2 linked regions of the Rattus norvegicus genome follow. The protein of the gene in region 2 purifies or fractionates together with the protein of the main gene of each other region. This does not show direct contact. Links are inferred from orthologs where the notes say so. Each region holds a gene or a part of one and is shown on either strand. Other genes may lie near its edges. The genes, in order: Pax9 and Kdm5b.

Region 1 (3,819 bases), on a different chromosome or scaffold from region 2:
TTCCCTTTCCCTAAGACTTTCAAGGTTTGCTGGCCAGAGAGACAAATGGTACGTGAGTTAACTTTTTATCAGAATATGTTGACAACACTGTGTATGTGTTTGGGGGGGGGTGTTGTAAAATTAAACTTAGCTTTAGAATATTTCAAGAGAAATACACACATATGCAAATCCTGTGTGTTCTAAGTTCTTAAGCATTTTTATGTAATTTTACACCAAATTAATCTCTAAAGTGAGGTTTTTGTCTCCTTAACATATCTTTTGTCATAAGAGTATCCACTGATTCATGTTGTGCTTAGAAACTCTGAACGTTTTATGATCCTGTGTCATTTGAATTATCTACCTAAATGGCAGAATGGAATAACATTTCAGTAAGAACTGTTTAAATATTAACTTGACATAAGTATCCTTTTATCTGGGGGCCTGTTCTCTTAAGTATTATAATATTTAGAACAACATTTATTTGTCCACCCATTTTCCTGAAGTTATTTGCTTTTATGAAACATTGTTTACTACTTTAAAATTCTTCGTGAGTGATTTTTAGTGAAATGGCATTCACTTGAAATGCTATTTATTTTAAATAAGTTGCAAGTTTAGTTCTGAAGCATATTTTAAATTAGCCCTTTCTAAACAAGCTTCACTGAGAGATTCAAGAGAGGGAAGTGAAAGTAGCTAGGAAGGTTTTCGATGAGGAAGCTGCTTTTTATGCAAACGGGATGGATTGACGGATTGTGGGAACTGGGGCTGATTTTGAACTCAGAACTTCATGATGTGATTCCAAGACAGCGCAGAGCTCCTGTTAAATACCTGCTACTGTTCTCCAGGCTTTCTGTACATTTTCCATTGTTTGTCATAGATGCTTGGTAGGATGTTTCTTACTATAGATTTTCTAAACCATGAATATTATGTGTATCACTTGTAAAAAGTCTCTCACTGCCATTTTTAACCACAGGGGATACTTAATGAATGTTTCCTAAGAGCCTTAACATTGTACTGACTCTGACTTTGGAATTACTAGTTCCTTATTTTGAAAATGAAGAAAGTCTAAGAAAATGAAGAGGCTCTAAATGGGTAAACCGCTTGCTTAAGAAGCTGTGGTGGGTTACCGAGCTTTTAATCATGGCGCACACCACCGCTCAGTGAGCTGAGAGTTATAGGCAGGTCTTTGCGAAAGAAAATGGTGAATTTGCTTATAGATACCTAACGGGTATTCTTTACAGTGGAACCAGACTTAGAAAAGCGGCTTGCTCTCTCCTTGCTGTTTTTGGTAATATTTGCCAGGAAATTAGCTACTAATGAATTCTGACAAACCTTGAGAGAGACGAGGAAATCAAAATGCGATTTATTAGCGAAAATGGTTAGGATATCCGCCCAATAGATAAAAATAATAAATTCCAACAAATATTATAACTGATTTTTGAGAAGACACTTTAAAAAATTTAAGGCTCTAAAATAAGACTAAGTACGTTGAGGCTTTGGAGGTCTACTTCGGGAATAAGGCACACTGCCTTGAAGTTTTGCCATTTGAGTTTTGAACTCTTCATTCTAGCATACTGACGAAATTTGGACTCACACTTTTGTGTGACTGTTGCTTCATTCTTCTCAAGGAGGAGAAAAAAAAAAAGAAAGAAACACCAGTGTTTTAAATTTTCTTTCAGAGAGTAGAGGGAGGGACGGGGAGGGGGGGGCAGGAGGGGGGAATTAAACGGTCCACAGCCAGTCCGTATAATTTGAGGTTTTCTCACTAACCTCCCCTGGGAAATTACGATGTGACCTTTAATCGGGAAATGGTAACTTTATTACGTTTATCTGGTTGCCCCTCTTCCATTCTCACCGGACAAGCTGATGTCTGGAAGCACGGGGGAGCTGTCTGTGCACATGACCCCGCAGCCTCCCACAAGCCTTGCGACTCCGGCCTCCAGGCGCAGCCCGCTAGCCGGGCGCTCGCTGCTCTGAACCCCAAAGTCTGGCCGTGCCGAAGCTCGGCCTTGGATAGACTGAACCCGGCTGGGCTGGAAGGTTTGGAGCCACAGGCGCGGCGGGATGCTAGGCTTTAACCCAGGCATCAGCCCAGACTCAGCCAACCCGGGATCCATCTCCGGCCCCAGTGGGTCGGCAGCCACTTCTCCCTCTTCAAGGCGTCCCTCATCTCCAATCCCCAACAGCAGGCAGCCCGCCGAGCTAAGCCCTCTCCTCCTCACCTGGCCGTACTTGGCTTCTTGCTCCAAGGCTCCCTTCTCCAATCCATTCACTGCGTGCGGGGCTGCAGCAGAGAAGTTGTTGCGGCCCAGGCTGCTCCACTCCTCCACCTTGGGGCTGTGGTAGGGGGAGCTGTCGCTCACTCCTGAGAAGGTGGAAGGGAGATTTCAGGCGGGGCTCAACCCGCGCGCCCCCTCCTGAGACAAGACCCGAATCCCCTACCACAAAGGTCCTAGGCTAAGACCTTTGGTCCACTCCCCTGCACTAGGCCTCCTAAGGACGCTGGGCCTAGGCGCAGACTCCTCTGTTTTCAGGCTAGGGCCTGGAGAAGTTTTAATGGCCTGAAAGTAGGCCTCTGAGTTAAGTTTCACCCACTCCTGGCGGATGTTTTTTTTTTTTTTTTTTTTTTTTTTTTTTCCTTTCTTCGTTTCCTAAGGCAGCATTAGATTTTCTTTCTTCCTCCTTGATCTCCCAGGGAACGGATTGAAAGAGAGGAGTCTTGTTTTGATTTTTGTTTGTTGTTTGTTTGTTTGTTTTTCCCAAACAGAAGAAAAAAATCCAAACCTGTAAATGGGATATTTGTTCCTTACCTCTGTCCCTACTGAAGGAGAGTGGCAAAGACATGACCAGTGGGGAGGACTGATGAGGAAGAGAGGAGGCCTGGCCCAAGTGTGACCCGGTGATGCGCAGAAACAACCTGACAAATGCTCACTACACTGTGGGGATCTGATAGCTATGTCAATAAGACAGAACAAAAGGCCCGCAAAGTCCTTTGCAAACAAATAACTGAGCGATGCCCACAATACCTATGCAAAATGTAAGTACACAGATTCCCGCATTGTATGGATTCAGGACTACCCTACATCGCCACTGCCTGCTAAATAAGTAAGGGTATATGCCTATTCTTTTTAAATAACTAAGTCTGGAAATACCGCGATTGTCAACGGTGGAATTGTAAAGAATGTTCTTTTTTTTAGGCATCAGATAGAGAAAATGAAATAAAGTGTAAAGAAAATGAAAGTAGAATTTAACGTTAAGAAAGGGAGCAAAACCATCTACCAATCTTTCTGTTCTTAAAGGAGATACAGACCCCCCCTAAAAGATTTTCATAACATCTACAGTTTGCATATGGGGGAAAAAAGATATTTGAAGATTGCATGCATCTAATTCTGCTTCTGGGCCCCATGTATAGAAGTTTGACAGTGTCTTTTATACTTGATTTTATACACTCCCATCTGATACAGGTGTTTCAAAGAGCGGTCATTTGGAGAAATTACCCTTTTACATGCACAGATTTGTCAGAACCCTGCTTGTTTAAAAGTGACATCACAAATAGACAACACTTATCTACCCGGAAGCATCACTGCCTTCTCTACTCCAATTCCTCCCTACCTGACATTCGGTCTGGTTGCAGGACTATGCAGAGGTGAAAAGTTTTTTTTTCTACTGTCAGCCTATTTTCATTTTGTCTCCCCCTCCAAAGACAAAGATTGTGTTCCCATTTTTGTACCAGGAAGCCATGACTGATTCACAACTACTGTCTGACGCTATTTGCTGCCGTCCCAGACAAAAGGCAATCGGTGGGCATAAGTCTAAAGTTATCTTAAGAAATTGAGATCCCCC
Region 2 (3,227 bases):
ACTGTTGATTGCATCTCGTTTCCCTCGAAGACAATCGTTCTGGGTGGGAGATGGCAAATTCAATTTTAGCATTCAGTCTGTTCGTTACTAAAACTGATGCAACTAGAGAAATATATGCAAATGAGAAACCAAAGGATCCCGGGAATGCACTGATCCGAACCACTGAAACCATCTTCACAGCCTGGGTCTTCACTGTGTTGAGCTGGGGCTAACACGGGGAAAGGGCAGTAACGACACAACCAACCTTCAAGGAGGCCTGAGAGCACACAGACACATCTTTCCCCAAATCCTTCAGTGAGGTGGGCTACGCCAAGCATTTGTGAAGGACGCCTCTTACAACCCTTAGAGGAGTGAGATGATTAGGTGGGCTATGATCAGTGTTTCAGGGCACCTTTCGTAAGGATCTTTTTCCTTGTGGCTTCAGGCTTCCCTAGTATGTTTTTCATCCTGATTATATTCTCGGGGGCACTCTGTGTGACGGCTCCTCCCAGAGCTAGAAGGGAGCAGAAGCTCCTTAACAGTGCAGAGACCCGGGACATTAGAGACTGGAGAGAAGTTATTGCATCCGCCATAAAAGCAAGAGAGGACCCCAAATCCATGTCAATACTCAGTGGCTGTGGTAGCCTGTCTGCCTGGCTATCTGCTATCTCTGAGCCCAATTCAGAGATCCAATTTCAGAGAATCAGGTGGCTGGAGAGCAATCCACGACTCAGAATCAACGTGTGAGGTGGGTGCACCTGGACATGCACATGTGAGAGTTTGCACATATAAACATACCACACAAAAATACACATGAAAGGGACATGGGAGACACTACCGAGTCTCTGTCAGGGTAAGCACCCTCAGCCCTACACCTGCAGTACTGGCTGCATCCACCTACTTGTTGGGAGGGATAATGGAAAGCATCTCTTATCTAGCATCTTTAAAATATTTACTAACAAAAGGCTCTTTCAGCTACAATTATATTTTCATCCTTATAGCAATGCTTCTATAGAGGAAGATAACCCTACTTCTCGCAATATTATCATATGGGAGAGGTAAGAAAAGTTCCCTTAAAGAGGAAAAAAAAAAGATGTAAAGATTGAGGACCCCGATCTAAGCTGTGACACTCAAACTGCTGGCAAAGGTGTGCAATGTGTCCTTGTCCAGTAGACCTGGGAGGTGGACAGCTTGTACGCTCCTGTGGCTCAGAGACACCGCCATCGCCTCTGTAAAATCATTAGAACGACATGAGTACAACACCGAGGCAGGTCTTCAGAGGCTCACTCACCTTCTCACTGCTGGGTCTGACTGGTGAGCTTCGGTCGGCTTGCTGAGCAGAGCTTGGCTTCGTAAGTAAAGTCTGATAAAGCTCCTGGACTTCAGGGAGGGACACCTGGAGCAACTGGGCTTCCATCAGCAATTCATTCACCTCTGGACTCAAACCTGTTGACAGCCACATCCAATCAGAATGGGGATGGAGACATTTAATACAAGCACTGGTAAGCCTGTGAGGGACAGAAGACCATCTCCACACCGCCTTCCACCATTCCTCTAACTGTAGTCAGTTTTGTTAGGTTTACTTAATGTACCTAAACCACAATACGACAAAGGGAGGCTAAAGTAGATTCCCTAATACTTCTGGCTACAGGGGAAAACCCACTCCATCGCAACCGACAGATTTCACTGTCACCCGGAGCATGACCAACTGGAGGAGAGCAAGGAGCTCGGACCACATGACTAAACACCGAGAAAAAGAACTCTTGAAGAAACGAGGATTATGAATGGTGGTACACGCTTCTAATCCCCGCACTTCAGAACTAGAAATAGAATCAGAAGCTCAAACTCACCCTCAGCTACACGGGGAGTTTGTGGCCAACATTACCTAACGAAGCCCGTGTTGCACACACATACACACGAAGAGGAGAAAGCCAGGTTTGAGAGCGCGCACTTGTAATCTTAGCACTTGGTAAGAGGAGCCTGGACCAGGATTTCAAGATCATTTTCCAGGGCTGGAGAGATGGCTCAGAAATCAAGAGCACTGGCTGCTCTTCCAGAGGAGCTGGGTTCAATTCCCAGCACCCACGTGGTGGCTCACAACTGTCTACAACTCCAGTCCCAGACAGTCTCTGTAGGCGCTGCATGCACATGGTCCAGACAAACCATAGGCAGAACACCATACACACAAAATAACAATGTTAAAAGAAGAGATAATTTTGACTAAAGAATGAATTTAAGGCCACCCAGAAGGGAAGAGGAAAGGAGGTAGATTTAAAATGAGTGACTTTCAATATCTGCCAGAAGTCGCAAACGAGGTTGGCATCTACGACTTAGCATGGGCCCTGAATGCATGGTCCTTGGTGGTAAATGGCACTGGATTATCTCTTATCCTTAAATAAATCAGAGTAGCCGATGCATCCTGGTATCCTTTACATTTACATTAGATCTTCAAATATGAACATCATTATTAGAAAATGTACAGTAACAGGTCTTCCTTGCTTTGTATCCCCGAGGCCTTGAACCCATAATCACCCTGCCTCTGCCTCCAGAATGCTCGTGTTACACGAGGTTCTTTAGAATACCAGATCATCTACTACAAAGCCTAGGCCTATCTAGGAATAGTGTAAAATAAAATACAAACCATGAAGGGGGATACAACTCTGACCGGTAGAGAAGGGAGAGTGTAAATATGAGGTTCTGTTGTCCCAGTCTTCCGGCAATGAAAAGGATGTTGTGCCAGGAGGTTGAGACACCTGATGGAAGAGAAACAGCTTATTACGATACGAGGCTTTGGCCTTCCACCCTCACAGAAACAAAGCCATTCAACTACCCAAGTTAACTCAGACTGACCTCACAGAGGTTGGGAAACAAACCGTGTTTTCTCTGCAAGCGAACAGATCATACCACCTTTCAGTGCTTGTGTAACTCTTTACTAAGCTTTGATAGGGTAAGACAAGCTACTCAGACGGCATGTAACTGTCACGAGCCAGGCACGGAGGCTCACTCACACCTGTATCCCTGGCTCTATGAAACCCTATCTCAAAAACCAGCCACAACTTTGTCCTTCCCCTTTATAATCAAACTCCCAGCACAGCCTGTGTCAAGAAGTACAACAGACTCTGCTGCTGGCTACCCAAGCAGCACTAAGCATGCAATCACATGCTATTTCAGAAGTACTTAGAGGAAAAGATGAAGTAGGAGGCCACTTACAGTCCTTACACCCGTGTCCTGTGGATCACCTAACTCCA

What was found.
Region 1: the proteins of Kdm5b (region 2) and Pax9 purify together in Homo sapiens (affinity purification with western blotting, with the first as the bait; 3 studies listed by BioGRID). This does not show direct contact. The link is inferred for Rattus norvegicus from reciprocal best matches to the Homo sapiens genes KDM5B and PAX9.

The regions. Positions count from the first base shown.
Region 1 is NC_086024.1:79,924,714-79,928,532, reverse strand, and holds part of Pax9 (paired box protein Pax-9), read right to left. Parts: intron 2,342-3,819; coding exon 2,199-2,341; intron 1-2,198. UniProt on the Homo sapiens protein: Transcription factor required for normal development of thymus, parathyroid glands, ultimobranchial bodies, teeth, skeletal elements of skull and larynx as well as distal limbs.
Region 2 is NC_086031.1:48,620,078-48,623,304, reverse strand, and holds part of Kdm5b (lysine-specific demethylase 5B), read right to left. Parts: intron 2,733-3,227; coding exon 2,621-2,732; intron 1,426-2,620; coding exon 1,271-1,425; intron 40-1,270; coding exon 1-39. UniProt on the Homo sapiens protein: Histone demethylase that demethylates 'Lys-4' of histone H3, thereby playing a central role in histone code. Does not demethylate histone H3 'Lys-9' or H3 'Lys-27'. Demethylates trimethylated, dimethylated and monomethylated H3 'Lys-4'.